Linked DNA regions of Coturnix japonica. The protein of the gene in region 2 binds, or shares a complex with, the protein of the main gene of each other region. Links are inferred from orthologs where the notes say so. Each region holds a gene or a part of one and is shown on either strand. Other genes may lie near its edges. The genes, in order: EXOSC1 and EXOSC9.

The links.
Region 1: EXOSC9 (region 2) and EXOSC1 share a complex: the UniProt entries of both Homo sapiens proteins name them as parts of the RNA exosome core complex. The link is inferred for Coturnix japonica from reciprocal best matches to the Homo sapiens genes EXOSC9 and EXOSC1.

Annotation. Positions count from the first base shown.
Region 1 is NC_029521.1:19,502,091-19,505,835, reverse strand, and holds EXOSC1 (exosome complex component CSL4), read right to left. Parts: upstream 2,146-3,745; coding exon 2,115-2,145; intron 2,042-2,114; coding exon 1,926-2,041; intron 1,796-1,925; coding exon 1,721-1,795; intron 1,568-1,720; coding exon 1,479-1,567; intron 1,325-1,478; coding exon 1,291-1,324; intron 1,156-1,290; coding exon 1,105-1,155; intron 1,007-1,104; coding exon 922-1,006; intron 753-921; coding exon 646-752; 3' UTR 519-645; downstream 1-518. Other genes in the region: palmitoyltransferase ZDHHC16, read left to right, coding at 2,144-2,412, 3,565-3,745. UniProt on the Homo sapiens protein: Non-catalytic component of the RNA exosome complex which has 3'->5' exoribonuclease activity and participates in a multitude of cellular RNA processing and degradation events.
Region 2 is NC_029519.1:48,282,490-48,286,998, reverse strand, and holds the start of EXOSC9 (exosome complex component RRP45), read left to right. Parts: upstream 1-1,687; 5' UTR 1,688-1,757; coding exon 1,758-1,823; intron 1,824-1,964; coding exon 1,965-2,059; intron 2,060-2,273; coding exon 2,274-2,393; intron 2,394-2,617; coding exon 2,618-2,720; intron 2,721-3,097; coding exon 3,098-3,235; intron 3,236-3,407; coding exon 3,408-3,490; intron 3,491-3,725; coding exon 3,726-3,858; intron 3,859-3,955; coding exon 3,956-4,044; intron 4,045-4,227; coding exon 4,228-4,374; intron 4,375-4,509. UniProt on the Homo sapiens protein: Non-catalytic component of the RNA exosome complex which has 3'->5' exoribonuclease activity and participates in a multitude of cellular RNA processing and degradation events.

The DNA.
Region 1 (3,745 bases), on a different chromosome or scaffold from region 2:
TAACTGTCCAGCGGTAGCAGTTGTCTTGTTCCAGTTCAATAAAAGATGAATATGCAATAATTAAATGTCAGCGTTTCCTTGTGCCACTGCGCCACGTGGAGCTCCCACTTTGCCTAGCACCGCATTTCCTGCACCACCACGTGTCTGTGATGCGCAAGTTGCTGCTGACTTGTGGGTGCAGAAGGTGCTCAGACTGCACAGCAAAGCACAGTTCTGCAATCCTCGCTGCAAAGAGTGATTCACTGCAGTGCTTTATGGGCTCTGGGCTGTGCCACACCTCTGCCTAACAAAGGGCATGTATGGCCTGAGGTGATAAGCCATCCTGGGGATGAGCACAGCAGCCATAGATGGTGCTATGTACCACTAAGCCTCAAAGCCTCGCTGCTCCCCAGGACAGGAACAGACTTTCTCACTCCCACACTGATGGGAGAAACAGCCCCCTCCAGCAGCTCCAGAGCAGAAGGGCTACAGGCAGCCAGAGCAACCCCTGCGGGCAGTGACTGAGCAGAACACAGAGCTCTCAAAAAAACCACGTTTATTTATTACTTACAGCACAAATACAAAACCCATCCTGCTGTATGGAAGATGCTGGACCCCACCATAGCAGCTCTCTTTCCTGGGGTCCCTGTACCCCTGAGGAGGCTGCTATGTCTGCAGGAACTGAGGCTGCACACGGGCCACCTTACGGAAGTCCTTGGTGTGCGTCTGTGGGCACTGCATCTCACACCAGCTGATAGGCACCATCTGCACCCCTGCAGGCATCCTCAGTTAGCAGATCCCTTCCTGCTTTGTCACACTGCCCAGCCCCAGCAGCCCAAAGCCTCCTCGTGCAGCCCCTGAGGCTCAGCAGTGGGAGGAAAGGAGGGTGTTTGCTCCCCATGCTGCACTGGCTGTTCCTCACATGGAGATGAGGATTCCTACCTGCGTCGCTGCGTGCCACCACCACACCCAGCTCGTTCTCTGCCGTGCTCAGCAGGTAGTTGGACTGTGCATCCCCCAGCGAGATCTGGTTAGGTTTGTGTTAAGGGAAAGACTCCCTGCCTCTATAGCCCAGCACAAACCCTCCAGGCCCGTGGGCCCTCCCACTGCGATGGGAAAGGATACGACTTTGGCCAGGACTATGTCACCGGGGCGGAAACTCTTGTAGACTTCTACCTACGTGGGAGGGAGTGGACAGGAGTGCATGGAGAGCGCAGGTACTGCTCGATAGGCACCCCATGGGCAGCAGCACGAGGGGAGCTGGACAGGGGGAAGCTGTAACAGCACTGTACCCAGCAGTGCCCCGCTGACCTTATCCTTTTCAGTAGCTCGAATGTCTTCCCTCCTAGAAAAGCAGACACAGGAATGTGATACCAGAGAGAGCCAGGAGGAGCTGCCCCGGCCTCCCTGGACGGCAGCCAGGCCTCGCTAGATGCATCCACGCAGCTGTCCTCGCAGCAGGCAGGCACCGCGCAGTGTGCCCCCTGCCCTTTCCCTACCGTATGGTGCCACGGAAGGTGGATTTCAGCGGCGTGGAGCCAACGTACAGGATGTTCACTTTGGCAAACCGGGAGTTGATGCTGCACACCTGCACCAACGGGCGGCGGGCACTCAGCGCCCGCGCAGCGTGGGCCGGGCCGGGCCGGGCGGCTCCTTGAGTGTCCGCCGCCGTCCGTCCGGAGCTCCGTGAGCCGAGCACACGGCCCCGGCCGCGGGGACACGTGGGGACAGCGGCACCCACCTTACACGTCACCACGGAGCCCACGTCGGGCAGCAGCTGCGCCTCTGCATCCCGCACCACCGACACCACGGGCAGCTGCGGGGCACAGACAGATGGATAGACACACAGACACACACACAGACACACACACACACACATAGACACACACACACACCCGGTCTCAGCCCGGTCCCGCCCCGTTTCCCGTTCCCCGCCGTGCTCTCACCGCCCCGTCCCGCTCGCAGCGCCGCACGCATCCGCTCAGCGCAGCGAAGATGTTGCCGTTCCGCACGTAGGTGCCGCTCCCCGCCGCGTTTCCGTCCGCTCCGCACAGCCGTTCTCCTGCGGGTCGCTCGCTCAGCACCGGTCCCGCACTTACCGGCCCGTCCCCCCCCGCCGCCCGCCCCGCACTTACCGGGCACGCAGTACCGAGCTGGTGGCGCCATGTTCAGCGTCGCGCGTGAGCCCGCAAAGAACCCTCCTCCTATTGGCTCTCAGCGACGGGGCCGCGATGTAAGCGGCATACCTATTGGTTCTCTTTTAACCTCAGGGAGCGGCGGTGTCGCGCGGCCCGCTGGGAGTCGTAGTGCGGCGCCTCGTGCCGGCCCTGCCCGCTGTGCTCAGTGCGCAGGCGCGGGGCGGCGGGCGCTGCCCGGTGCCGTGAGGGCGGCGGGAACCGGGCATGGCGGCGGGCGGCGGGGAGCGGGCGGCAGGTGCGAGCGGGAACGGGAACGGGAACGGGATGGGTGCGGCGGGGCGGGGAGCGGGGCACGGAGCGGGGCGGGCCCGCGGCCTTGGGGCGGCGTGACCGGCTGGCACGGCCGAGGGCAGCCCTGAGCCCAGCACGGGGTCACCGGGAGCGGGAGCTCATCACCCGCCGTGCGGCCGTGCCGGTACCGCTGTGTCCCGGTCCCGCCGTGTGCCGGTTGTGCCGGTTGTGCCGGTCCCGCCGTGTGCCGGCCGCTCGCTCTGTGTTCCCGGGCCGTGTGTTGGCGCTGGGCCGTGCCGCTGCCTGGCGCGGTGCCGAGCGGAGCGCTCGGTTCGTGCCTTGGCCGCATCCCGGGCCGGCCGTGCCGTTAATATTGATGGCCCGGGGGCCCTGACCCGGCGGATCGTTTGCCTCATTTCGGGCCCGGCTCGGGTTCCTCCTCGCTCCCATCGCGGCCCTCGGGTGGGATAAGAGGCTCAGCGGGAGGACGAGGGCTCGGTGCGTCCCTCTGCTGTCCGAGTGCCCGCAGCTCGGCCTGGCACAGCGCAGCGTGGCACTGTCCGGGGAGCTGCTGGGGTCGGTGTGCGATGGGCTCTGCAGCTTGGTCCGGGGCTGAGGCAAAAGGAAGAGCCGTCCAGGTGCTGCTGGGTGTGAGGAACAGGGCACGTGTTTTGTGCGGGCTCCCTCACTCCCGAATCCATTAGCAAAGGCTGCTGAGGGGATCCCCGTGGGTTTGGAGCGTTCCCTGCCCTGGAATGAGCTCTTCGCCCCATGTGCCCTCACCGTCTCCAGTTTCCTCTGAGTCAGACTCTCCGTGTCGCTCCCCAACCCCCTCCCCTGTGGGAAAGACGAGATGGGAGCAGGGAGCACCCGAGGTCAGGCGCGGAGCCTGACAGCCCCGTGTCCCCCCTCCGCACACAGAGCTCGGGAGCGCAGCATCCCTTTGGGCTCAGCGCCACCCGCTTCTGCTCCGCATCCTGCGCAGGGTGAAGGAGCCCTGCCCCGCCGTGCAGCCTGACACCTGGCCTGCCCACACCCAGCATCTGCCCACATCCAGCATCTGCCCACATCCAGCATCTGCCCACACCCAGCATCTGCCCACACCCAGCATCTGCCCACACCCAGCATCTGCCCACATCCAGCCCCTTCCCCGCAGGTTCGGAGCAGCAGGGATGAGGAGCCGGCAGCGGATGTTTGCGGCGGTGATGCGCCTGCTCCTCAAGTGCCTGCGGCTGGGCCGGCGGCGGCGCTTTAAGCTGGTTCGGCAGGCAGGGCAGCTGTGGCACTATGGGCACCTCTGCCTCCGCTCCCTGCTCTACAATTCCTTCACCAACGGC
Region 2 (4,509 bases):
CTAGACCTCATTTAAGGGCTGACCACCACTAAGGCAGCATCTCTTGGAGGTTGTTTCCTGGTGGAGATTGACTCAGCATTTCCTAGTGAAGGCATCCATATTGTTGAGTTTTTCCTTATAAATAACCTTTTGAGTATTGGTTACCATCTTTGTATCATTCCACCTTGCAATGCCCCTGTTGCCTTTTCTATGATTAATAGAGGGTAGCATGGTCTAGGAGCCTCCAATAAACCCTTGTAACAATTTTAGTATGTAAGTACCTGAAGAGAGTTTCATGAAAAGCTGTTTCATATTGAAATGCAAATGCTTCACAAAACTGGTTTTCATTCATCTGCACTACTGAGCAACCCCTTACTGCAAAAATCCCACTGTCCATATAGTCTGCAAGAATAGTACAACTTATTAGCTAATGTGGATGACTTGTTGAGCAATGCATCCATTTCCAGATTTCAATTCTTTTTCACTGGTAGACAATATAATGTTTTTTGTAAGAGTATTAGAGAGATGGTAAGCATTATCTTCCCTTGCAAATGCAGCAGTTATAACAAAACAGTGCTAGTGAACGAGATCCAAGTAGAACTGATTAATTTATCCTTCCCAAGATAAGCAGCATGCTGAATCAATAACAGTGACAGCTAAGATACCCAAGGAAGCCCTGATACTTCCTGCTAAATATCTGAACTGCTGCATTAGTCATGCACAGAATGTCCATTTAAGCATGAAATTCAGCTCTCTCTCTTCTTGCACAGAAGCTACGAGAATTAAACTGCACTGAAAAATGCTTAAGCTTAATTGCTTGCCTGCTGTGGTCGACCTCAATGCAAACGCTGCAGGTCCAGTTTTCACACCTGGAGCACAAATACCAGTGATTCCAAATACAGTTGGCAGTAAGTCATTGTACTTTCCAACCCTCTCCTCCCCTCCCCCCAAAAAAGAGAAAAATAGAAAAAAGGAAAAGGGAGGTGGTGGGGAAAAATAAACAAACCAAAAAAACAAAGGGACAAGGGGGAATGGTTTTAAACTGAGACGGGAGGTTTAGGTTAGATATTAGGAGGAAGTTTTTCACACAGAGGGTGGTGACGCACTGGAACAGGTTGCCCAAGGAGGTTGTAGATGCCCCATCCCTGCAGGCATTCAAGGCCAGGCTGGATGTGGCTCTGGGCAGCCTGGTCTGCTGGTTGGTGACCCTGCACATAGCAGGGGGTTGAAATTCGATGATCACTGCGGTCCTTTTCAACCCAGGCCACTCTATGATTCAGTGAAAAGGTGGAAAGAAATAGCAAGATAAGTTGATTTAATGTGGGCTGGTTCAATAACAGTGAAGATTTCTCATTGAAGAGAAGTGTTTACTTCTACTGTCAGGCAAAATGACATTGAAAGGCTCTACAGAGGGATCTGGATAGGCTGAATCAGTGGGCTGAGACCAACTGTATGAGCTTCAACAAGACCAAGTCCTGAGTTTCAGGAAGGGAGGTCACGGTGAGGTGAAGTCGGCCTCTTCTGGGTCACAGTGACAGGACAAGAAGGAATGCCGTCAAGTTGCACCAAGGGAGGTGTAGGCTGGGTATTAGGGAAGAAGGAATTCCTCTCACAAAGAGCACTAGGCGCCTGCACCGAAGAATCGCGTCCGCCCACCGCCAGGGGGCCCCATTCAGCAGCTCCGCCGGCCGCGCTCTGTGGTGAGGCGGCTGGAGCGGCCGCCGCGTGTTGATGACGTCCCGCAGCCGAGCTCACGCCGTCCGTTTGTGGGGTCTGCCATGAAGGAGACGCCGCTGTCCAACTGCGAGCGGCGCTTCCTGCTGCGCGCCATCCAGGAGAGGAAGGTGCGGTGCCGGACCGGCCTCCCCGTACCCTGCCCCGTACCCTGCCCCGGGCCCTTGTCGCCTCAGCTGCGGGGCGGCGCGGCCCGGCGTGGTGCGCTGACCGCCCCGTGTGTGTGTGTGTGTGTGTGTCTGTCCCCGCAGCGGCTGGACGGGCGGCAGTGCTACGACTACCGCAATGTGCGCATCTCCTTCGGGCCCGAGCGCGGCTGCTGCGTGGTGGAGCTGGGCAAGACCAGGTAGGAGCGGCCGGGGGTCTCCGGGCTGGGACACACACAGCTCTATGCGCATTCACCGCCCTCAGGGTGAAGGAAAGGAAACTTGAGCTGAACAACGAGAAATGTGTTAGAAAACATCCACATGGGTCTTTGTTTTTTCTTTATATGTTTTGTTTCCATCGTTAGGTATTTTCTTGCTAAGCTTTCTGACCTAGCTGCTTATTTCCTTCTGCAGGGTCCTTGGGCAAGTCTCATGTGAACTCGTTCCCCCGAAGCCAAACCGGGCTACAGAAGGGATTCTGTTCTGTAACCTGGAGCTCTCACCCATGGCTGCACCTGGCTTTGAGCCTGGCAGGTACGTCGCTTTCTTAAGAAGTCCAGGCAAGGATAATGGTGCAAGTGGTAGAAGTGCCGCTCTGCTACACAGAGGCTCGAATCCCAGGGGTTGGACTTGATGATCTCTAAGGTCCCTTCCAACCCGCACGAGACTGATACTGTGATAATGTATGAACCACTGCTTGGACACGCACAAGTATGTACCATAATGATGTTGAATTTGGGTTGATTTTGTTTGAACAGGCAATCCGAGTTACTGGTCAAAGTGAACAGACTGATAGAACGATGCCTGAGGAATTCCAAGTGTATAGATACAGAATCCCTCTGCGTTGTTGCTGGTGAAAAGGTAGGAGAAAACTACCAGTCTCAAACCATTGCATAGAATCACTGAGCTTGGAGAAGACCTCCAAGATAATCCACTCCAACCATCCACATAGCACCAATATTTCCCCACTTAAGCCACGTCCCTTAGTTATACATCTAAATATTTCTCGAATTCAATCACATATAAACATGTTTAATGATTTTAAACATAAAAGTCACTTTTTCAGGTGCTCTGTCTTGTTTTGAATACTGGTCTTTTTTCATCCTAACTCTTAAATCAAATACTCGAGGAATGTAAGCTGCTCTTTTTTGTGATTCAAAAACTGGAAGTGTCTTGGAAAAGCAGGAGCTTCTGTGGAATTATGTTACACATTGCCAGTTATACATGTTTTCCCTCAGGTCTGGCAAATCCGTGTGGATCTGCACCTGTTAAATCACGATGGTAACATTATAGATGCTGCCAGCATAGCAGGAATCGTGGCCCTATGCCATTTTCGCAGACCAGATGTTTCTGTGCAAGGAAAAGAAATAACGGTGGTAAGTCATACCAGGTTTACCTCCATAAGTCGTAAATGGGAAGTATTATACAAGGAGAACCAAAAGAGATTTTTTATTAATATTTAGTTGACTAGACTTTTTTTCTTTGCTTTCTGTTTCTTTACATTGCTCTTGCACAATGTAAGTAACCAATAACCAATTCTTTTCTCAGTACTCTCCTGAGGAACGTGATCCTGTGCCCCTGAGCATCCACCACATGCCTATTTGTGTCAGTTTTGCCTTCTTCCAGCAGGGGTAAGAATTCTTCTTAAAGCTCTTGACAGAAACAGCTTATTGTCAGTTGTGCAAAATTATTGTTACAGCACTGTGAAAATACTCTTGTTGACAGACAGCTTTCTTAACACGTTCATACGTGTTCTCCACAGTGTGATAGTAGCCAGCAGCTTGCACAGATAGGAAGAAAACTGTTACAAGGGAGTCAAAGTCAACCTCAAACTTCTGTTGTCTTATGTTAAAAACTTGGTTCTAGGACGTATTTGTTGGTGGATCCAAATGAACGAGAGGAACGTGTGATGGATGGTCTCCTTGTAATTGCCATGAATAAACATCAGGAAATTTGTACCATCCAGTCTAGTGGAGGGATTATGCTATTAAAGGATCAGGTAAAAGTCAAGGAAAACATTTAAGGATCTGTTCTGTGGTTCTATTTTAAGTCATGTTTTCATGATTCTAAACTGTTACCGTGTATGTAACGTACAGGTTCTGAGATGCAGTAAAATAACAGCTGTGAAGGTTGCGGAAATAACAGAATTAATTCAGAAAGCTTTGGAGAACGACCAGAAAGTGAGGTGAGTTTTTGGGGAAGGAATGGAAAGTACTTTGAAGAACTGATTGAAAAGTTAATGCCAGTTTATAATGAAACAGCAGGTTGTTTCTGTTTGTAATCATTTCAAGTATTACAAGTATGGAAATGCTTGCTATATTCATATATGTGAAATATCCTGAAATAACGTCTGTTGTTGGATGACTAGGAAAGAAGGTGGGAAGTTCGGCTTTGCAGAATCGATATCAAATCAGAAGATCACTGCCTTCAAAATGGACAGTGCTGCTGTAGATACCAACAATGTGGAAGAACAAGCAGAAGAAATCATAACTAAAGCTGACCCTCCTTCAGAAGTGTATGTTTTCTATTCGTTATTCCAGGGGGGAGTTTTCCTCTTATCTGCACTGGCCCTTCTAGAAGCTAGTAAGACACTCAAGCTATCAGATGGCTCCGGGTGGCCCTATAGCCTTCAGAGGAAACAGCCTTACAC